Linked DNA regions of Macaca mulatta. The protein of the gene in region 2 purifies or fractionates together with the protein of the main gene of each other region. This does not show direct contact. Links are inferred from orthologs where the notes say so. Each region holds a gene or a part of one and is shown on either strand. Other genes may lie near its edges.

The links.
Region 1: the proteins of SF3A2 (region 2) and PLRG1 purify together in Homo sapiens (affinity purification with mass spectrometry; 3 studies listed by BioGRID and IntAct, with this or other methods). This does not show direct contact. The link is inferred for Macaca mulatta from reciprocal best matches to the Homo sapiens genes SF3A2 and PLRG1.
Region 3: the proteins of SF3A2 (region 2) and ZC3H18 purify together in Homo sapiens (affinity purification with mass spectrometry; 3 studies listed by BioGRID and IntAct, with this or other methods). This does not show direct contact. The link is inferred for Macaca mulatta from reciprocal best matches to the Homo sapiens genes SF3A2 and ZC3H18.
Region 4: the proteins of SF3A2 (region 2) and RBM17 purify together in Homo sapiens (affinity purification with mass spectrometry; 4 studies listed by BioGRID and IntAct, counting the BioPlex papers as one, with this or other methods). This does not show direct contact. The link is inferred for Macaca mulatta from reciprocal best matches to the Homo sapiens genes SF3A2 and RBM17.

Annotation. Positions count from the first base shown.
Region 1 is NC_133410.1:163,138,552-163,144,238, reverse strand, and holds part of PLRG1 (pleiotropic regulator 1), read left to right. Parts: intron 1-406; coding exon 407-549; intron 550-1,199; coding exon 1,200-1,253; intron 1,254-2,040; coding exon 2,041-2,131; intron 2,132-2,329; coding exon 2,330-2,417; intron 2,418-3,741; coding exon 3,742-3,843; intron 3,844-4,251; exon of another isoform or gene 4,252-4,356; intron 4,357-5,687. UniProt on the Homo sapiens protein: Involved in pre-mRNA splicing as component of the spliceosome. Component of the PRP19-CDC5L complex that forms an integral part of the spliceosome and is required for activating pre-mRNA splicing.
Region 2 is NC_133424.1:2,992,778-2,998,711, reverse strand, and holds the end of SF3A2 (splicing factor 3A subunit 2), read right to left. Parts: intron 4,987-5,934; coding exon of another isoform or gene 4,964-4,986; coding exon 4,854-4,963; intron 3,355-4,853; coding exon 3,305-3,354; intron 3,226-3,304; coding exon 3,085-3,225; intron 2,503-3,084; coding exon 2,434-2,502; intron 2,341-2,433; coding exon 1,540-2,340; 3' UTR 1,429-1,539; downstream 1-1,428. Other genes in the region: AMH (muellerian-inhibiting factor), read right to left, coding at 337-751. UniProt on the Homo sapiens protein: Component of the 17S U2 SnRNP complex of the spliceosome, a large ribonucleoprotein complex that removes introns from transcribed pre-mRNAs.
Region 3 is NC_133425.1:83,995,597-84,001,283, reverse strand, and holds part of ZC3H18 (zinc finger CCCH domain-containing protein 18), read right to left. Parts: intron 4,869-5,687; coding exon 4,751-4,868; intron 2,186-4,750; coding exon 1,917-2,185; intron 46-1,916; exon of another isoform or gene 1-45.
Region 4 is NC_133414.1:7,673,674-7,679,360, forward strand, and holds part of RBM17 (splicing factor 45), read left to right. Parts: intron 1-2,393; 5' UTR 2,394-2,411; coding exon 2,412-2,534; intron 2,535-5,687. UniProt on the Homo sapiens protein: Splice factor that binds to the single-stranded 3'AG at the exon/intron border and promotes its utilization in the second catalytic step. Involved in the regulation of alternative splicing and the utilization of cryptic splice sites.

The DNA.
Region 1 (5,687 bases), on a different chromosome or scaffold from region 2:
ACTTTTCTTAGTTCTAACTAACCTGTTTGGATACATCTAGTAAAGGTTGCTATAGAGTTTTTACTATATTTATATTTTGAAGGAAAGCGTATTGACTTTGAGGTTTCTTAAAGGGTATGTTAGTTTCTATATATCTTTCAAGCAGACCCTTGATAATTTATCATAAAATATTTTCTATTAGGTAACAAACTAAAATATTACTTAGGTTTAATGAATGCTGTGTGGTGGAATGTGAGCAAAAGAACAGATATGGTGGGGAAATGCACTTGGAAATTTTTGATTCTTTTAAATACTACTTAAAATCTTACTAGAAACTTTTCCTACATGATTGGGCAAACTTAAGCTGTCTAAGTGTTTGTTTTAAAGTATTTATGGATACGTTCTTATGTTTATAATTTCTAAATAGTCACAAACGGAAGATGGCAATCAAGCTTCGTAATGAGTATGGTCCTGTGTTGCATATGCCTACTTTGAAAGAAAATCTTAAAGAGAAGGGTCCTCAGAATGCAACGGATTCATATGTTCATAAACAGTACCCTGCCAATCAAGGTGAGTATGGTATTATCAGAAATGTCAGACGTATGTGTGAATTTTAAAAATAGAAAAATAAAATGTGTTATTTTTGCCCCTGCTGGCAGGACTTAGGTGTGGTCATACAGTATTTAATGGCTGTACCAGTATTATAATGGAAGTTTTTATCCTCGTGGGAATACTGAGACATTGGTTGATGACTTTTTTCTTATAGGAAATAAAAATGGTAGTATAATGATGGCAGAGATTCTTAGAATGTGGAGAAGGTCACAGTAGAGATTAAAGGAAAAAATTGGAGAATATTCTTAACCTGTGGGGATACCATCTATCCTGTCTGTAATTCAGAAAGATGAAATTAAATACTGAAATCTTAATAAATGAAGAGAATTCAAGCTTCCACAGGAAATTTGCTTGGAAGAAATACCAGAGTGGATTATCACTTGATAGGAGGGCTTCTTTGTATACCATTGCTATATAGCAAATGGACAAGGACATGGTTTACAGAGATCAAAAGTGACCAATTTCCCTTATTTCTGAGGCTTAACTTTAGTTGAGAAAATGTGATAGATCCAGTTGAAAATGTAATATTATTTGATACTTTAAAGAGATGATAACTTTTATATATAAGATAAATTCACTACTGTTGATTTTTTTTGTCTTTTTTCTAGGACAAGAAGTTGAATACTTTGTGGCAGGCACACATCCATACCCACCGGGACCTGGTTAGTGAGCTGTTGTATATTGAAAATGTCTTAAAAATGTCACATACATTTTCACTAACGAGCCAATAATGACATTCTTGTTGCCTGTGAAATGCAAGATAAGTTCAATAGCCAAGCATCCGTGCATAGCTTTGTAGGTGATAATGAATACTCATGTGCCTTTATTCAGCAAACATTCTTGAGTATGTATAATTTTTCAGGCAATGTGCTAGGAATTCAAAGAGTAAAACTGTTGCAGGCCTAGACAAATTTATTATCTGGTGGTTTAGGCAGACATGTAAATATCACCAAGCTTATAAAAATGATGGGAATGTTAGAGGCAGTATCTTAGAAACATGTCCTCTGTCTGTATTAAGGTATTGGCCCACAGATGGAGTGGCCAGTATAACCGGGTAGAGGACAAAAGGCTTAGTATATATAGAAAGTGCAGGAAAATTGGGTGCTTCTGGTTGTAGTAAGTTACAACCACTCTTGGAAACATTCTGTTTGTATTTGAGGAACTGCTTAATACTGACTTTTGAAACTAATACCCAGATATAATGGAAATTAACTTTACTGTTCTGGGCTGCTTTAATACCTTGTAGGCTGTGATCAAATTTGAGTTATGTGTTACTAAGCAGTATTTATTGTAGAAATTAAAAACAAGATGAGCAAAACTTAATCAAAATTTGTATCACTGCCTGGAATTAATAAACGTTTGGAATGTTTTCCTTCATCATTTTATTTTAAGTGCATGTAAATGAATAATACAAAGCTACTAAAAGAAATTGATTTTTCATTTTAATAGGGGTTGCTTTGACAGCAGATACTAAGATCCAGAGAATGCCAAGTGAATCAGCTGCACAGTCCTTAGCAGTGGCATTACCTTCTCAGACCAAGTATGAAATATTATAATTACAAAGATCTTAAAAGCATATTTCACTGTTCACGTTTTTTCTTTTTAAAATTTTTTTATAACTATTGTATGACATTTTCCTTTATCAGGACTTATAACAATTTAAAATAAAGGGTTAGTTTTGCAGAATACATGACTGGAGGCATTAATTACTTTGAATATAATATTTCTTTTGCCTCAGGACTGATGTAAATCGTACTGCACCTAGTGGAAGTGAATACCGACATCCTGGGGCTTCTGACCGTCCACAGCCTACAGCGATGAATTCAGTAAGTTTTTCTGCGTCAGATAGCAGGTTTCTAACTTTTTAAACATGTTGCCTTATTTCCCTCTGATCGAAAGTCTTACCTTAAATACTAAAGAAATGAACACTTTGGAATTATTAAGATAAATAGCAGCCTGAGCTAGTCATTCATATTTCATAGCCCTAACACTCAAGTTGGTAGTAAATTAACATTTTTTGGAATGCTGTTATTTGTCTAATTGTACATTGTGTATAATATGTATTTTGATAAAGATAATGTGATGTTGGTATTTATTGCCCACTATTAAAAATGCAAGGAGAGTTTTTCTGAAACCTGTGTTAGTATGCATTGCATATGAAAGTCTTTTTTTTTTTTTATTAAATTTTAAGTTGGTACAGTTATGTTGAGTGCTATTAGTGTTGTACTATTCATGGGCTATACAACTAGTCTTATAAATGAACATTTAGAAATAAGTTTATCTGTAGGTAAATGGCAACTGGTATTAGTATGGTAGAAGTAGTTGTAGAATTATTTTCTATAGTTATTTTATTGATTTATTTTTCTGCCATGTATTTTATTATGCTGCCACTTGAAATAAGTGCTGGCTTTGCTTCTCAGCTCATTATGCAATTGTTTTGACTTCATGAAGTGAATGAATGTGTAACCCCCACGTCTCATTTCTTCCTTTATCTTCCATTCAGAGCATATCTTCTGTCCAGGCTCTCTACCCTCCTTATGAGGGTGTAATTTAAGCTTCTTGAGGGCAGGAACTTTATGGGCTTAATTATTTTTTGGATGACTAGATGACTGCTAACAATAGATGGTATATCAGGCAGTACACCTGTTAAAATAGTATTTAAATATTGTATTAGAAGATAAATAGAAGGAACTATCATATCAGTCTTTGCTACATTAAATCCATAAGGTTAAAATATGACAATGAATGGCAGTGGCATTAATACACTTAAAATGATTTTAATAATGCGAGCTTACATGGAGCATTTACTACTTTTTACATCTTTGTAGTAACCCTATGAAATAGGCACTATTCTTCCCATTTCATAGGTGAGGCACATAGAGGTTACGTAATTGTTACCTACTGTCAAACAGCTAGTAATGGGCCAAGCTGGGATTTGAACCCATACACAGTGATGTGTGTTCTTAAGTCTAATGTTCTGCCTCTCTCTGATTTTATAATTGCTTTTTAAAATTAACATACAGAAAATTTTATTTCTTCGTTTATGGAAAAAATCTTTTGTAAGTTCCCTCTTTCCATTTCCATTTCTGAATTGATACAAAGTCTTCGGTATGATATCTTTAATAATAATAATGTCTCTTCTATGTCTAGATTGTCATGGAGACCGGCAATACCAAGAACTCTGCACTGATGGCTAAAAAAGCCCCTACAATGCCAAAACCCCAGTGGCACCCACCGTGGAAACTCTACAGGGTGAGTGACTCTGCATTTATTTTATTATGTGAATCATGATTGCTTTCTAGTTGACAAGCACTGAAGAATAGAGTAAGGAGGAAAAAGAGTGAATATGAAAAACCGGTAGAGCAATCTGAGGTGGATTGAGAAGAGTCTTAGGGAGTATCTTAAAAGATCTCTTGGGAAGGCGACTTCCTTAAGTAAAAGTTACACTTGTATTTTATATAAAATCATATAAAATGTCAAGATAAAGCTACTAAATATGGATTGCAGACTAAATAAATTTAGAAAGTGTTCAAAGTATTTAGTTTGAAGGTGAAAGGGGAAACACCATATAAAGAAATTCTTTGGGCCTACCAGTTATTCTTTCAACTACAATAAATTAAAATGAGTCAGAGTGTATCATCTAAAAGAAAATGGACCTGCGTGCTCACTTCAGCAGCCCATATGCTAACATTGGAACAGTACAGAGAAGATGAGCATGGCCCTTCTGTAAGGATAACACAGATTCGTAAAGTGTTCCATACTGTTTATTTTGCATTGCTTGCCTGTATCAAAATATCTCATGTACCCCATAAATATATTTCTACTGCGTACCCACAAAAATTAAACACAAAATTTTAAAAAAGAAAGTGTACATAGTAGAAAATGTACAACTACACGTAATTTAATATATATTTTCCCCATAAATATATTTCTACTGCGTACCCACAAAAACACAAAATTTTAAGAAAGTGTACATAGTAGAAAATGTACAACTACACGTAATTTAATATATATTTTAAAATTTTTATTTTTCAAATGATTGTACAGCAAGAGCTTTTTGTTTGACATACAGGTCTAATGAATTGTAATAGATGTATTGATTTGGGTAACCACTACCACAATTAGGATATAGACATTACGTCACCTCAAAAAACACCCCTGTGCTATTTTTTTGTAGTTATATCTTCCTTCACCTCTGACAATCACTGATCTGTTTTCTATCACTATAGTTGTCTTATTTTTTTTCAATAATTTCAGTTCTAATTTATTTTTAATTTTTATGGCTAACATAATAGATGTGCATATTTATGGGCTACATATCAAATCTGATACAAGCATACAGTGTGTAGGCCAGGTATGGTGGCTCATGCCTATAATCCCAGTACTTTGGGAGGCCTAGGCAAGTGGATCTCTTGAGTCCAGGAGTTCAGTACCAGCCTGGGCAACACCACAAAATCCCGTCTACAAAAAATACAAAAATTAGCTATGTGTGGTGGTGCACACCTGTAGTTCCAGCTACTCCAGAGGCTGAAGTGGGAGGATCACTTGGGCTCAGGAGGCGGAGGTTGCAGTGAGCCGGGATCACACTGCTGCACTCCAGCCTGGGCAACACAGTGACACCCTATCTCAAAACAAGAAACAAAGAAAAAAAAGCATACAATGTGGAATGATCAAATCACAGTAATGGGGATATTTATCTCCATGGTAATTGGGATATTATTTCTTTGTATTAGGAACATTTCATTTTACTCTTCTAGTTATTTTGATATATACAATAAATTATTCTTAGCTATAGTCACCCTATTGTGCTACCAAGCTAACTAGCCAAACTAGTGCTACCAAACACTAAATCTTACTCCCTTTATCTAACTGTATTTTTATACCCATTATCCACTCCCTCTTTATCCTCTGCCTCCCTACTATTCTTCCCAACCTCTATTAGCCATCATTCAACTCTCAAGATCATTTATTTTTTAGCTCCCATATATGAGAGAGAGCATGCAGTACTTGTGTTTCTGTGCCTGGCTTATTTCACTTAACATAGTATCTTCCAGTTCCATCCTTCTTGTTGCAAATGACAGAATTTCATTCTTTTT
Region 2 (5,934 bases):
GCCAGTGGCCCCGAGAACAGGCTGGCCAGGTGTGGGGCGGTGGGGAGGAGGGTTCCACTGGCCCCGAGCCACAGGGTGGTTTCTTCACGGGTGGCGAGAAGACAGCAGCTCTCTCCCTGCCGCTGTGGCAGGGGCTGGTCTAAGAGCTGGGCTTCAGGGACAGGACAGAGCGCGGTGCCCACCTTCCAGGCCATGGACCCACAGCCCAGTCCCAGAACAAGACCACAGCCTCCCTGCCCAGGGTGTGGGCTCTGCCAGCCCTTGATCTTCCCTAAGAGGACCTGGCCCACCTGAAGGAGGCCGGCGGTGCCAAGCTCGGGGCTGGGCCCCACGTACCTTCCTCCAGGTGCAGGACCACCAGGCGCTGCCCCCCAGGGTCCCGCAGCCAGGCCCCCAGCCGCTGTAGAGAGGGCAAGGCAGCCTGCCTGTCACCGGGGGTGCACACCCCAAAGGTGGCCAGGTCTCGGGGGCCCCAGTGGGCCCGCTGCACGGCCCCCAGGAAGGCCCGCTCATAGGCGCTCAGAACTCCCATGACCTGCAGGGGGGTGCCGCTGCCATTGCTGTCCCCACCCAGTGCCACCAGGCACAGAGGCTCTTGTGGGCTGCCTGGCGGCCAGTCCAGGTCTTCTCGGAAGATGAGGCCACCGGTGCCCACAGCTGGTTCTTCTGCTCTGAGGGCCTCAGTCCCCAGCAGAGCCCCCAGGGCGGACAGTACCAGGGTCAGGCTGGTGAGAGGCAGGTCCCGCGTCATGGGTGCTGCCAGGAGCTGGGCTGCCCGCCTTGTGGAAGCCGAGTGGAAGGTAGGGTGTTTGTAAAGGACAGGCCCCTATCTCCTCTGCCGCGACCTTGGGGGACAGTGCCCGGCGCCCCCACTCCAGGCAGAGTGGCCTTCTCAAAGAGCCCTTTCTGTCGCCAGCAGCCTATCTCCCTCCCCACAGCGATAGAGCTGGGCCTGATTTGTCAACATGCTGTCCTTGAGGGCCCGTCCCCAGAAGGCACAGGAGTGGGAACCAGGCTGGGAGTGATGGCCAAGCAGCCAGACTAGACAGCGCTGGGGGCGGGGGGCCCAGATGTCCTGGGTGCTAAGGGGTGGGCCTGGAGGAGGAGGGTCCCAAGTCAGTGGGGGCGCCCTGTCCCTGCTCACCTTCCCAACCCCTGGTGGGCTATCTGGAGACCCCAAGGATATCACAAGAGTCTGCTCTTCCCTCCCCAGGACAGGACCCCAGACCCCCTCCTAGCTGGCTGGTGGAGTCTGTCCTCCACCAGGCCACCTCCAAGGTACAGCTGTCTCTCAGGCCTCCCACAGGTGTCTCCCGGCAGGCCCCAGGCCCTCCCCAGTCGGCGCAAACTCAGGGATGGTGCTGTGCCTGGCACTCCCACACAGCACTGACAAGGGAGGGCGGCGCTGCAGACATCAGTGCACTCGGGGCTGGGGAAGGCTGTTTAATGAGCAGGGGGCGGTACAAAAGAGCAGCCTTCTCTCGATGGCAAAAGGCAGGAGCACCTGGCGCTGAGCTTGCTGGGGGAGGGAGCAGCTTCTCAGTTGGTTGGGGGAGGGGGAGGTATGTTCCCTGGGCCTTCGGAGGGGAGTGGGGGCCTCAGCATTGGGGGCATGGGAGTTGGGGGGTGTACCCCAGGATTTGAGGGGTGAACTCCAGGAGGCTGAGGGTGGACCCCAGGAGCTGATGGATGGACCCCGGGAGGTTGGGGGTGGACTCCCGGGGCCTGAGGGTGCATCCCTGGGGCTGGTGGGTGCACCCCCGGGGCCTGAGGGTGAACAGCAGGGGCTGCTGGGTGTACCCCTGGGGCCTGGGGGTGAACCCCCGCTGATGGGGGAGGATGGACCCCCGGGGCTGGTGGGTGGACTCCGGGGGCTGGTGGGTGAACCCCGGGGGCTGGAGGGTGAACCCCGGGGGCTGGAGGGTGGACTCCGGGAGCCGGGGGGTGGACCCCAGAGGTTGGTGGGTGGACCCCAGGGGCTGGGGGATGGACGCCAGGAGCTGGGGGATGGACCCCAGGAGCTGGGGGATGGACGCCAGGAGCTGGGGGATGGACGCCAGAGGTGGGGGGATGCACCACTGGGGCCGGGGGGTGGACCCCTGGAGCTGGTGGGGGTAGCTGGGGTGGTCCCGGGGGCCCTGAGGGTGCAGGCCCCGTGGGGGGCATGGGTGGCAGAGGTAGGCCTCCCGGCGGTGGCGGTGGCAAAGACTCGGGCAGCGGTGGCCGAGGGGGCAGACCATTCATCAGCGGAGGTGGAGGCCGCTTCACCCCAGGGGGGCCGGCGGGGAGGCTGGGCGGAGCCGGGGGCTTCTCCATCTTAAAGTGGAACTGGAGGAAGAACTAGAGAGACGGAGAAAGGTTCAGCAGGCACGGGCAGGGCTAGGGCCACCGGGGCTGGGCAGGAAGGAGCCAAGCTCAGGGCTAGCCACTCACCTGCTTGGTCTCCCGGTTCCAGTGTGTCCAGAACTTGCCCTCCGCCTTGTCAATCTCTCTGCTCGGCACCTGGGAAGGCGGGGGACAGAGAGGGCTCCTGGTCCCTGTGACCTCAGGGTAGCCATCAGGCAGGGAGCCTGAGGCGTTAGCCTCCCCGGCCCGGACTCCACCCTGGGAGCCCAAGAGAAGGCCCCGGCCTGGTAAGACTTTCGATGGGCACAGGGTTCAGTTCTGGAGTGACACAGACCCGGCCTCCACGCTAGCACACGCTGGCCCCCGCCCTGGACAGGCACCGTTTGTATTGTTTCCTGATGGCTGCTTTGTCCAGGCGTAGGCACAGGCTGTGGGAAGCCCTCCAGCAGCCTAGACCAAGAAGCGAGGTCACTTGGCGAAGGCCTCACAGGCCCAGCGCTCAGCCCTGCCGGCCTCCCTTCTCCATGGGCACAGTGGAGCCCAAGCAGGCCCCCTCCTGCAAAGCCCAATGGGAGGGGTACCCTGCCCAGCCTGCACAGACCCTTCTGGCTCCGTCTCGGGGATCCCAGGGGACCCCACAGCCTGATAGGAGGGGCGCCCTGCCCAGCCTGTGCAGATCCTTCTGGCTCGCACATCTCAGGGGGCCCTGGGGCCCAGGGGACCCCGCAGCCATGCTACCTTGAAGGCGATGGTCTCATAGGGCTCAGCGGCCATGAGCAGGTACTGCCAGCGCCGGTCCGGAGGCTCAATCCTCTGCTCGTACGCAGACATGAAGCGGTGGCGTGGCATGATGCCCTCGGCGATCTCAGGGTAGTCGATCTGTGGGGACACAGCCGGGTGGCAGCGCCACCTTTCAGGTGCCTTCGGCCGCCCCCCACACCCAAGCCCCTGATCTCACCTGGAAGAGGAGGCTCTGCTGGCCCATCTCCGAGTCCCTCTGCTTGGTCACTGCAACACAGAAAGCTCTCAGGTCCCGGCTGCTTGTCCTCCCCAAAGCTGAGGGACCTGGGGCAGGCTAATGCCACCCACTGAACGAGGGCGAGACCCCAGGGGAGGCCCTGTGGCTCCAGGCAACCGCCAATCCGCCCAGGCTCTGGGACTCTGGTATAGGTGAAGGCACAGGTGCGCCAGGGCTGAGCTACCTGCGGAGTCACTCGGGCAGGGACCGAGGGTGGTACTCCTTTGTCCTAATCCCCAGAGCCCTTCACCCAGGGTGCTGGGACACTATCCAGCAGGAGTCGGGGCCACTGGGTAGGGAGCGGCCCATGGCACCCTGGCTCTGGGATTAGAGTGGGGCCGCCTGAACAGGGCCAACACCATCTATAGGGTGAGCGGGAGAGGATGCCTTTCCCACCAGAGCTCAGCAGCCTGGACCCCGAGAATGGCTGCTGGGCCGCCTACGGCCTGGCCACTCTCCAAGCAGCCTCAGACACGCACACTCACAAGCCCTCCACCTCCTCACTGCCCTGAGCCCAAGCTCAGGACCTGTCAGGGCCTCCCCACCAGGAGTCTGCCGCTCTAGCCACCCTCGTCCACCCAGCACACCTGCCCCGGGGCCTGTGCCCTGCAGGCTCCTGTCTGGAGGCCAGGCACACAGGCTGTCCCCATCTTCCGTAAAGAACATTTGCTGGGGCCGGGCGCGGTGGCTCATGCCTGTAATCCCAACACTGTGGGAGGCCGAGACGGGTGGATCACGAGGTCAGGAGATCGAGATCATCCTGACTAACATGGTGAAACGCCGTCTCTACTAAAAATACAAAAATTAACCGGGCGAGGTGGCGGGCGCCTGTAGTCCCAGCTACTCGGGAGGCTGAGGCAGGAGAATGGTGTGAACCCGGGAGGTGGAGCTTGCAGTGAGTGGAGATCACGCCACTGCACTCCAGCCTGGGCAACAGAGCGAGACTCTGTCTCAAAAAAAAAAAAAAAAAAAACACTTGCTGGGTAGCGTGCCCGCCTTCCTGACCCTACAGACACAAGGTCTGTCTCTTCCACCCTGGCCGCTTCCCTGGCTTTCTGAACCAGGTCACCTCCTGCCATTCCCACTGCTGAGGGTCCCGGAGGAGCCGCCTCTAACAGCCGCTTCTTCCTGTCCTCCTTCAGAGGCTTCAAGGTTAACCGGAGGAGTGTGCCAGGGCTCACCACACCTCCACTTCCACTCTTTGGCTTGGCAAGACTCCCCAGAAGCTTCCACAACACTCGGACAGGAGGGCACAGACTGTGGCTCAGCTGGGAAAGGGGCCGCTGGGTGAGACGGGTGCTTATCGGGCTCAGCCTGACAGCTCCCAGACACAACGCCAGAGGCTGCAGGTGGGTGAGGGATGGCCACCAAGGCCAGAAAACAGCGGCTCAGGAATGAGGGTCTCAGGGCTGCGCCTCCTGCACTGGAGCCCAAAGAACCTATTCATGCAGCAGCAGCGGCTGTGGCCAGCGCCGCTCCGGGCACTCACCTTTGTAGCCTGGGCGGCCGATCTTCACAAACTTCTTCACCTCCACCTTGACCTTCTCAGGTGCAGGCTGGGCAGGGGCCTCCTTGGCCTCCTTGGCGGCTCGCCGGGCCCTGCAGGCAGGATGGACGTGGTGCTGGGGCCCCTCCACACACAGGCACCAAGGCCACGGGCCCCCTGACCTTGGAGCTCACTATAAACTGAGGGATGAGGAGGGCCAGGGGCCTGGGAGGGGCCCTGGGGTTTGGCTGAGAACAGGGATAGGACAGGCACGTTCTCTTCCTGTCATGCTCCTCACTGTCCCTGGCTGGGGTCCTACCAACAACTCCATGCCTCTGCTTTTTTTTTTTTTTTTTGAGACCGAGTTTTGCTCTTGTGGCCCAGGCTGGAGTGCAGTGGCGCGATCTTGGCTCACCGCAACCTCCATCTCCCAGGTTCAAGCGATTCTCCTGCCTCAGCCTCCCCAGTAGCTGAGATTACAGGCATGCACCACCAAGCCCGACTAATTTTTTGTATTTTTAGTAGAGATGGGGTTTCTCCATGTTGGTCAGGCTGGTCTTGCCCTCCTGACCTCAGGTGATCTGCCCGCCTTGGTCTCCCAAAGTGCTGGGATTATAGGCGTGAGCCACTGCGCTCGGCCTTTCTTCTTTTTTTTTTTTTTAAATAAGACTGAGTCTCGCTCTGTCGCCCAGGCTGGAGTGCAGTGGCGCCATCTCGGTTCATTGCAACCTCTTCCTCCCAGATTCAAGATTCTCCTGCCTCAGCCTCCATAGTAGCTGTGATTACAGGTGTGCATCACCATGCCCAGCCTAATTTTTAGATTTTTAGTAAAGATGGAGTTTCTTTTTTTCTTTTTTTTTTTTTGAGATGGAGTCTCGCTCTGTCACCCAGGCTGGAGTGCAGTGGCGTGATCTTGGCTCACTGCAAGCTCCGCCTCCCGGGTTCACGCCATTCTCCTGCCTCAGCCTCCCGAGTAGCTGGGACTACAGGCGCCCGCCACCACGCCCGGCTAGTTTTTTGTATTTTTTAGTAGAGACGGGGTTTCACCGTGTTAGCCAGGATGGTCTCGATCTCCTGACCTCGT
Region 3 (5,687 bases), on a different chromosome or scaffold from region 2:
AGAGTGACCACATGATCTAGCAATTCCACACTGAGGTACACGCCCAAGAAAAATGAAAACCTACGTCCACACAAAAACCTGCACACAAATTCACATTCACAACAGCCAAGAGGTGGAAACAACTCAATGTCCATCAACAGAGGAAGGGAGAAACACGACGCAGTGTGTCCACGGAGGAGTAAGGCACTGACCCACGCCACAGTGTGGACAAATGTTAAAAACGCTCGAAGTGAAAGAGGCCGGTTACAAAAGGCCATGTATATCACACACTTGTTCCTACAAAATGTTCTGAACGGGCAGATCCCTAGAGACACAAAGCTGCTAAGAGACTGGGAAGTGTGGGCAAAGTGGAGAGTGACTGCTGATGGGTACAAGGTTTCTTCTTCTTCTTTTTTTTTTTTTTGACAGAGTCTTACTGTTACCCAGGCTAGAGTGCCATGGCACAATCTCGGCTCACTGCAACCTCAACTCAACCTTCTGGGCTTAAGCAATCCTCCTGCATTAGCCTCCTGAGTAGCTGGGACCACAGTGGCGCACTACCACGCCCTAACTTTCTGTATTTTTTTGTAGAGACGGGATTTTGCCATGTTGCCCAGGCTGATCTCCAACTCCTGAGCTCAAGCAATCTGTCCACCTTGGCCGCCCAAAGTGTTGGGATTACAAGCGTGAGCCACCGTGCCCAGCCTAAATTTTTTTAAAACAATTTTTTTTTTAAGATACAGGGTCTCGCTCTGTCACCCAGGCTGGAGTGCAGCTGTGCAAGGGTAGCTCATGGCAGCCTCCAACACCTAGGCGATCCCATAATCTTCCTGCCTTGGCCTCCTGAGTAGCTGGAACCACAGGCTCATGCCAACTCGCCCGGCTAATTTTTAATTTTCTTTTTTTTTTTAATAGAGATGGGGTCTTGCTTTGCTACCCAGGCTGATCTCAAACTCCCGGCTTCAAGCAATCCACTTGCCTCAACCTCCTTAAAGTGCAGGGATACAAGTGTAAGCCACCGCAAGGTTTCACTCTGGGAGACAAAAGTGTTCCCATATTGATTGTGATGATGGCTGCACAACTCTGAATATTCTAGAAACCACTGAATTGTACACTTTAAATGGGTATGTTGCATGGTACATGAATTATATTTCAATAAAGTTGTAAGAAACACCCACAAAAAACATCATCCAGTACTCTAATGTCCAGAGGCCCATCCATTCTGCTCTTAATAGTCAAGTATATTTGAAGGAAAAAAACGGCTGTCCCGAGCCCCAGCGCCTGCCTGTCTCATGGGTCTTCGCTGTTCCCCCAGCAGCTGGCAGCAAGGATCATTCTGCACCCACTCCACAAAGGAAACGGCAGGACCCCAGCCCTCCCCTGCATGCTGGCTGCTGGAGCGCCTCCCCCTGGCCAGCAACACGGACGCCCCACAGCACCTGAGCCCAGTCCCAAGCTCCGGGGGCCAGGCGTGCTTTGGAATTCAGAACTCTGCTGAGAACAGTAACATGGCGCCCAGGGTGTGAGTTACACACCATGCGTGGTATACAAGGGCAGTGTCTGTTAAAGCACACTGATGTTTGCATGTGGACTGTAAGCACTTTCACATCAGTGAGATCCCCTAGAACAAGAACAGCCTCCCAGGAGCTCAGGGCAGATGTCACCACCTTGGGAGTTTTACAGAAAGGCCCTGCGTCGGAGAGCTTTGGGTTTGGAACCACAGGTTCGGGCCGTGGGCCTGCACTCGTCCCCTGGGCTCCAGAGCTGTGGGCAGCAGAATGGAAGCACAGGTCGAGGGGCTAGGTACAGACTGCGTGCCGGACCTGCAGGTCGAGGGGCTAGGTACAGACTGCGTGCCGGACCTGCAGTTCGGGGGGCTAGGTACAGACTGCGTGCCGGACTCCCCACACCCCTGGGCTTCGGGAACCACGGTCTACCTTGGTGGCTGCGGGGAGCGGGGCTTGGGTTTCCCCTTCTCCTTCTCCCGCTCCTTCTCCCGGTCGCGGTCACGGTGCTGCCGGTCCTTCTCGTCCCGCTTGGCTCGCTCACGCTCCCACTCCTCCTTCCTCCGCTGCCGCTCCTTGTCGCGCTCACGCTCCCGCTCTCGCTCACGCTCCCTCTGCCGGCGCTCCCGCTCTCGGTCCCGCTCCCGCTCCCGCTCGCGCTCGCGCTGTCTGTTCTCTCTCTCTCGCTCCCGCTCCCTTTCCTTTGTTAAAAAGCCAAACACATGGGGACACAGTGCGTTATTTGGGTGACTGAGGCACTGAAAGCCCTGGCTCCAACACCACGCGATCTGTGTCACAAAATCACACCTAAACCCCACAAACCTACACACAAAACGCCAAGTGCACACGACTATGGCTGAACTCTGCGGTGGAGTACAGAGGAGATGGCAAGAGAGAGGCAGGATCAGGGAGCACCCTCCAGTGGGGATCTAATTCCCAACTCTCTCCTTAAAACACAATGTTAGGCCGGGCGCGGTGGCTCAAGCCTGTAATCCCAGCACTTTGGGAGGCCGAGACGGGCGGATCACGAGGTCAGGAGATCAAGACCATCCTGGCTAACACGGTGAAACCCCATCTCTACTAAAAAATACAAAAAAAACTAGCCGGGCGAGGTGGCGGGCGCCTGTAGTCCCAGCTACTCGGGAGGCTGAGGCAGGAGAATGGCGTAAACCCGGGAGGCGGAGCTTGCAGTGAGCTGAGATCCGGCCACTGCACTCCAGCCTGGGCGACAGAGCCAGACTCCCTCTCAAAAAAAAAAAAAAAAAAAAAAAAAAAAAAAAAAAAAAAAAACACAATGTTAAAAACCGGGTCAGATGCCAAATTAGAGCAAACACGAACTAGGAGTGAAATCATCCCAACCGCCAATTCTAGACTAACTCAAGGCAGCAGTTCTGCAGTCACAGCCCAATGCCGCTGGGACAGATGGCCTTCTGCCATGTGGCCTGGGCAAATCCATTCGTCCATCCAGAGACTGGAGTTCCAGGCTTGTCCCAGGTGGGTGCAGCCACAGCAGTGCACATGCCCTGCCTCTGGAGCAGAGCGGGCATCCAAAAGGCTGCTCCTGTTCTTCTAGTACAATCCTCAGATGCCCTTTCCAACTTTCTCTTTGCTCTTACTCATTCATTTGCTCTAATATTCAATGTTAAAACTGAATAAAGTCCAATTACAGTGCACCTGACGAGTTTCAGGCTCGAGGCCTCTGCTGGGGAGATGTGGGGTGCACCCCCAGCCTCCCTGCTGCCCCTCCCTCAGACACAGCAGAGAAGAACGCAGTGGAAAGGGATTCCTGGGGCTTTCTCCCACATTCCAGGGTGCCCTGCCCAGGGGTAGGGAGCAGGACCCTGCAGCCCACCTGCAATGAGGAAGCTGCTCTATGGAGAGACGGGGCACGAGAGGATCGAGCAGGGGGACTTCTCCGGCACAATAGGGCCCTCTCCTCTCGGTGAGCTCACCCTGATGGGCTCCTGAGGAGACAGCCGCACCTGGTCCTCAAAGCTCATGACTGTCCCCGCAGTCACAGAGCAGGAACTACACAGCAGCTTCTAACGGACCCTTCCCTGGAGCACTTCGTCAAATCACCCTAACAGTTAAGATGAGGAACTCACAGTCTGAAGCACTTAATTCATCAATACGCTAAACTGAGGCTCAGACCAGGGAGATTTCCAGGGAGGAAATCTCAGTATAGACCAGTCTTCCATGAGAGGAGTGAGGTGCAGCAGGCCCGCAGGAACACACTTAACAAGCTGGCTGAAGTAGATGAAAACAGCCGCCACATCCTAAACGGGATCACTGAGGGGCAGGGAAGAGTGACACACCCGATCAGGGAGACACAGGCATCATTAAGTATACTGGCAAATCTCATTTTCAAAACCAGGCCGAGCTGGGTTCCGGGGCTCACACCTGTAATCCCAACACTTTGGGAGGCCGAGGCAGGCAGATCACCTGAGGTCGGGAGTTTGAGACCGGCCTGACCAACATGGCAAAACCCCGTCTCTATTAAAAATACAAAAAATTAGCCAGGTGTGATGGTGGGCACCTGTAATCCCAGCAACTCAGGAGGCTGAGGCAGGAGAATCACTTGAACCTGGGAGGTGGAGGTTGCAGTGAGCTGAGATCATGCCATTGGACTCCAGCCTGGGCAACAGAGTTAACTCCATCTCCAAAAAAAAAAAAAAAGAAAGAAAAAAGAAAGAAAGAAAGAAAAAGAAAAAACCAGGACAGGCGCAGTGGCTCACATCTGTAATCCCAGCACTCTGGGAGGCCGAGACAAGTGGATTGCTTGAGCTCAGGAGTTCAAAACCATCCTGGGAAACATGGTAAAACCCTGTCTTTACAAAAAAAATACAAAAAATTAGCTGGGCATGGTGGTGCATGCATGTGGTTCCAGCTACTCAGGAGGCTGAGGCAGGAGAATCGCTTGAACCCAGAAGGTAGAGGTTGCAGTGAGCCGAGATTGCGTCAGTGCACTCCAGCCTGGGTGACAGAGTGAGACCCCATCTCAAAAAACAAAAAACAAAAACCAAAAAAAAAACTCCCAAAACTATAGCAAGAACCAGTTTTCAGGCAAGTCCTTGTTCAAATGACCACTGATTTAATCGCTGGCTCTGAATTAGTTCTCCATAACAATCAATTTGGTTTTGAAATTGGTACACTGTGCTGACTCTATAAGCTCATATAAAGCCCTATATTTTCTACTATAAATAAAAAGGGATGACTTTAATGAACAGATCATGAAGTTCATATCTGGATATTTAAGTCATACTTACTCGGTAATTATGGTACGGCTCTGTTTCTGTATACTGCACCCTGAAATTCTCATACTGTCCGCCACGCCAAAACCGCTCAATTTCATAGTCATAATAAGGGTCCGCATAAGGCTCGAGTCTGAAAAGGGCCAATGAAAAAGAACTCTCATCACTTAGGAACACTGGTATAAAAAGACCACATGAAACATTAGGGACAGAAAGTAACAGACCGTGACTCAGTGGGGTTTACTCCAGGAGTGCAAGGTTAGCTCAAGGTTAGGAAATCTATCCACAAACTACATGTAAGAGCAGGCCAAAAGTCAAGGGGTTCTTTTCACAGATGACAAAAATGTCTGACAAAAATTCAATAGCCTTTTTGATAAAAATACTCAAGAAAATAGGAAGTGAGGGCTGGGTGCGGTGGCTCATGCCTATAATCCCAGCACTTTGGGAGGCCAAGGCGGGTGGATCACCTGAGGTCGGGAGTTTGAGACCAGCCCGACCAACATGGAGAAACCCCGTTTCTACTAAAAATACAAAATTAGCCGGATGTGGTGGTGCATGCCTGTAATCCCAGCTACTCAAGAGGCTGAGGCCGGAGAATCACTTGAACCCGGGAGGCGGAGGTTGCCGTGAGCCGAGATCGTGCCATTGCATTCCGGCCTGGGCAACAAGAGTGAAACTCCGTCTCAAAAATTAAACAAACAAACAAACAAACAAGGAAGTGATACTTTAGCATGATAAAAATATACTGACACACTTTGGAACTAAAGCCAGCACCTTACTCACTGGAGAACAGGAGGAGCTCCCCCAGGAGACTCCGCAACCACCTGTCCCTGTGTGGAGGCACCACCTGACTGGACAAGGGGAGCCCACAGACGCACAAGAACACACAAAAAAGGAGCAAAGCGAGCTCAGATTCGCACAACGATACGATGCTACACACGAAAACCCAGAG
Region 4 (5,687 bases), on a different chromosome or scaffold from region 2:
AACAATGAGTTTTGAGTTCTGGGTAAGCCGGAAGAAAAGTGTACAAAAACCTCAAAAGCTATTTGGTGTGGTGTTCTTCCTTCTGGCCAGTGATTGCTGGCCAGAAATTTCTAATTGAGAGGGCTTTGTAAATGGAGTATAAACTGCAGTTTGGCCTCATTTCCTATTTAGCTGTGGGTTGGATATTGATCTTAGTCTGAGGATAGAGCAGTGAACAAAACAAACTGGATCTAGGTTTTCTTGGAGTTCAGAGTTATTAAACTAGGCTCTGAAGTGGACATCAGGAGATTCCCTCCAAGACTTTGAGGACATGGTTATATTTCAGCCATATTTGTTAAAGAATGGAGTTCATTATTTTTTCCTGATTTGGCCTCAGTGCTTCAGGCCTGTGTCATGAGACGTCATCCCCAAGTTCCTGAGAAAGTGCAGTTTGGCAATGAAGATGTCAATCAGGAGGAGAGTCTGTCTGCATCCCAGCATCCCTTCATTCTTTTTTTTGGCGGGGGCGGGAGGAGGGGAGGTGGCGGACTCTCGATCTATCGCCCAGGCTGGAGTGCAGTGGTGTGATCTTGGCTTACTGCAACATCCGCCTCCCAGATTCAGGCGATTGTCATGCTTCAGCCTCCCGAGTAGCTGGAATTACAGTCGTCCACCACCACGCCCAGCTAATTTTTGTATTTTTAATAGAGACAGAGTTTCACCATGTTGGCCAGGCTGATCTGGAACTCCTGACCTCAAGTGATCCGCCCTCCTATGCCTCCCAAAGTGCTGGGATTACAGGTGTGAGCCACCGCAGCCGCCATCCCTTCATTCTTAATGTGATTCGTTTGCGCAGTCAGCCGTCGATACCCCTGGACAGTCTGCTTTCCCTGCTTCTGTACGGCCTTGGGGGGCCTTTCATTTAAAAATCAAAATGGAGAGGTTTTAATTAATCGGAGTGTTCACGTATGAAGGAAAAGGGAGAGGTTTTAATTAATCGGAGGGTTCACCTATGAAGGAATGGAAGAAACTAAAAAGTGGTACCAGTTTTCTGGATGCTGACTTCAGGCAGGGAGTTCCTGTACTTAAGACCAGGGCAGTTCTTCTGAGGGAACAGAAGTTGGTGTGCACTCCGTCCCTCACTCCAAACAGTGTGGTACCAACATCAGCTAAGGTGTTGGGGTGGCAGGGTGTTAGAATCCTGGTAATGGAGGAGCTGAGAAGTAAGAGTACCTTCAAGAGAAATGCTTGCCGAGTCAGACCTAAGGAGGATGTGTGTTAAATATTTTCCTTCTCTTCTGAGCCACAGAACACAAGCAAATTAGGCTTTTCGATAACACTGTTTCCATGGGAAAATGCTTTATGGGCCCCCTGGGAACTGACAGACTTTGGGAATTTGTCCATAAATTGGGAACTACTGTGCTAAGCATTTGCTTGCAACTTGTGGGTTTCTGTTTAAATTATGTTCTCTTTCTGTCTGTGAGATTGATTTCTTATTTGAAGAAGTAAGCATGTCGGTGGGTTTCGGAATGTTGAGTTTTTTTTTAAAAGTGGCAGTTGGGGTTCACTGGTGAGGGCTCTGGAGTTGGCCTGGCTGGGTTGGAAGGGGCTTCCACTGTGGCCTTGGGCAGATTGATTCCCTAAACCCCAGCATCCATGTCTGTACAGTGCTGGGCTTTCATGGGACCTGCTGCCGATGCTGCATTGCATGTCATGCTTTGTGCCTGCTGACTTGATTTTTGTTTTCACGTGTTCCTCTGTTCTGCACGGAAGCTGTGTGTTGCTTGTTCACATGCAGATTGTTGATTGTCTCTTTGTAATTGCTATCATTAAAGATGACAAGTTTCCACTTGGGGGGGATATGAGGAAGTCATAGTATTTAAGATATAACCAGCACCGCCCCCCCCCCCCCCCCCCCGCCGATAATCGTAATTGACAAAATCACATCTAAGAGGTCATTTCTGTCACTTTTTTCCCTAAGAGTATGTTTAAATTTTTTCTTTATGAAAGGGTAGCTAATTGTGCTAAATCAACCTGGTAATTTGTGTTTTTAAGGCTTCTACTTTTTGGCACTGACATGAATAGAATTTTTTAAACATTGGATATATGTAATTAATAATGTCTCAATTCTTACCTCATTATGTGCCCTAGCTTTGAAGGATTTCACTCATGGATCACCTGACTGCATGGTCTTGTAGATGGAAAAATGAATTCTAGAGCCTTATTTTAAAAATAATACATGGTGTAGCTTCATATATCGGGAAGAACCCTGCATTAATGGTACCAGGAGCCTTGGCCTCTGTTGCTGAAAGGTCCTGGACCTTTTACCTCTAAAATTTCGTGATTTTTATTTTAACATGAAAAGCCTTTATTGAATTGTGCATTCTTTAATCCCCACCCCTTTTGCCTTTCAGCATTAAACTGAAGAAAAGATGTCCCTGTACGATGACCTAGGAGTGGAGACCAGTGACTCAAAAACAGAAGGCTGGTCCAAAAACTTCAAACTTCTGCAGTCTCAGCTTCAGGTGAAGAAGGCAGCTCTCACTCAGGCAAAGGTAAAGACAAGCCCAGAGCAGGAGAGCAGAGGCCTCCAGAGTGGGTTGCTCATTAGGATGACAAGGAGTTTGGTTTCAGCTTGCTCTTCTGCCTTTGTATTGGGTAAATGGTGTTAAACATTTGTAGGGGGAGAGGAATGAGGAGTTTAAGGCCGCTTTGCTGCTCCTGGCTCCTGGGAATGGGAACATTTCATGGGATAGGAATGAAGAAAAACAGTACTCTGTGGGGTTGGGCACGGTGGCTCACGCCTGTAATCCCAGCACTTTGGGAGGCCAAGGCAGGCAGATCATGAGGTCAGGAGATGGGAGACCGTCCTGGCCAACACGGTGAAACCCCGTCTCTACTAAAAATACAGAAAATTAGCTGGGCATGGTGAGTGGGTGCCTTTAGTCCCAGCTACTCGGGAGGCTGAGGCAGGATAATGGCATGAACCTGGGAGGCAGAGATTGCGCCACTGCACTCCAGCCTGAGTGACACAGCAAGACTCTGTCTCAGGACGGGCGTGGTGGCTCAAGCCTGTAATCCCAGCACTTTGGGAGGCCGAGATGGGCGGATCACGAGGTCAGGAGATTGAGACCATCCTGGCTAACACGGTGAAACCCTGTCTCTACTAAAAAATACAAAAAATTAGCCGGGCGAGGTGGCGGGCGCCTGTAGTCCCAGCTACTCGGGAGGCTGAGGCAGGAGAATGGCGTGAACCCGGGAGGCGGAGCTTGCAGTGAGCTGAGATCCGGCCACTGCACTCCAGCCTGGGCGACAGAGCGAGACTCCGTCTCAAAAAAAAAAAAAAAAAAAGGCTCTGTCTCAAAAAAACAAACAAACAAAGCAAAACTGGTACTCTGAACCAGCAGTGACACTGGTTTTCAAACTTAAGTAGTGGAGGTCTAAGATTGAGTGAGAACTTGTTTAAGGTGCTGATTGTGTAGCCATACTCCTGATATTCTGGTAAACTCTAGTTTAGACTGGAGCCCCAGGAGTGGGCATTTTTAAGTAGCATTCCTACTGGTTTGTTGGCGGTAGTTTGGAAGCAGCACTTTGGGAAGAAGCTCCACAGAATACCTAAGCTGCTGGGTGTAACTTATTGAGGGCTGGGGTTGGTTGTGAAGGTGTCAGGCATATGTAGTCTGGATGCTAATTGCTTTTGTTTCTGTTGTGTGCATGTTGGATATTGGCAATGTCCTTGAAATAACTCAACATGTAAAACATTAAAAACATAGTTGTCGACTGGATATTTGCCATTAAAATGTAGGCATGAGAATGGTATGATTTGTTTACTATTTTAGAGGTCGTTATGCTCTAGAGTTTGCATTCGCAGTGGAGGCTATATCCCCCCAAACGGAGCGAATGTTGGTCTTTTGGGGGGCAAAAAAATCTTGCTCATATTGTGCACAGTGTTAAAATTTCATGTGTCGGAAAAAATGTATTAAAAGGCTCCTTGTTGGGGAGGCAATAATTAAACTTGAGAAAAAGTACTTTAGAGATACATGCTGAAATATTTACTGATAAGATGATGTCATTTTTGGGATTTACTTCGAAACAATTCAGTACCAGGCAGGGGAGGGAGGGAAGAACAGAACTACCCATGAGTTGGTAATGGTTGAAACTGGATAGCAGAGACTTAAGAATTTATAATCTCTTTAATTTCATGTTTGAAAATTTCCATAATACACAGGGTTTTTTTTTAAAGTTTTACTCATTTTTCTTTTCCCTTTACCACATCAATAGATACTTACATGGAAGTGCTTACGTTTGATTGTTCAGTATTGTAGAAGTTTTTTTGTCTTTTTAAAATTCATCATTACCAAATTTAGATTTTTTGGATGCGAGTATTTTTTGTTTTTTTAAAGCAAGTTTTCATTCCAAATGTAAGGAAGGTTAGCAAAACCTCGTTTTTCTCTTTAATTTTTTAAAAAAGTAAATGTATAAAATCTTTGTAGATTTCATGTAACTTTTGCTTTGCAGGAAAGATGTGGATGTGAGCCACCATGCCCGGCCTCATATAGATTTTTAAAACTTGAGGTAGCTTGTGAAGTTATTTCTACTAACTTTCTAAAACTTTTGAGATTGCTATGTACAGTTAGTTTTGTGGGTTTGTTTGTTTGTTTGTTTAAGGGAAATGAAGATTGCATTCTCTTAGGCTGTTTAGTTACTCAGAATACTAGATTGGCCTAGCCAAACCTGTAAAGATATTTATTTGGTAGAGAAAATTTGAAGCTGTGGTTTCATTTGTATCTCCATTTGAAAAATACAAAGTTGTTTCTTGGTGTCCACAGGGGATTGGTTCGAGGATCCCCCCGCACCGGATACCAAAATCCAAGACTGCCCAAGTCCCTTATATAAAATGGTGTGGAGTTTGCACATAACCAGCACATATCTTCCCATATTTTAAATAATCTCTGGATTGCTTGCAATACCTAACACAATGTAAATGCTGTGTAAAAAGTTGTTATACCGTATTGGTTTTTTAATTTGTATTTTTTCTTGTATTGTTTTATGTTCTTAATATTTTCATCCTGGGGTTAGATATGTGGAACCTGTAGATACAGAGGGCCAACTCTATATTGAATAGAAAATAATAGAAAATACGTGATTCTGACTGGGCACGGTGGCTCGCACCTGTAATCCCAGCGCTTTGGGAGGCCGAGGCGGGTGGATCACCTGAGGTCAGGAGTTTGAGGCCAGCCTGACCAACATGGTGAAACCCTGTCTCTAATAAAAATACAAATATTAGCCCAGTGTGGTGTCATGCGCCTGTAATCCCAGCTACTCTGGAGGCTGAGACAGGAGAATTGCTTCAACCTGGGAGGCGGAGGTTGCGGTGAGCCTAGATCGAACCGCTGTATTCCAGCCTAGCGACAGAGCAAGACTCCATCTCAAAAAAAAAAAAAAGAAAAGATGTGATTCTAATAAATCCCCCTTCCATTCTTTAAACTTTCATATTTACTTTGTGAGTTGTTAATTGGGTTAAATTTTGTTTGCTTAAATTTATAAGTATTGTTATATTCAGGAGAGATGAAGGCTTATTTTGTGCCTTTTATAGTGGTAATGAAAATTTGTAACACTTTGACTTGCAAAAGAGAAAAATTAAACCTTTCTAATCAAAAGATCTAATAGTTGCCAGCATACCCATGTGATCAACCTTAGCTTTGCTG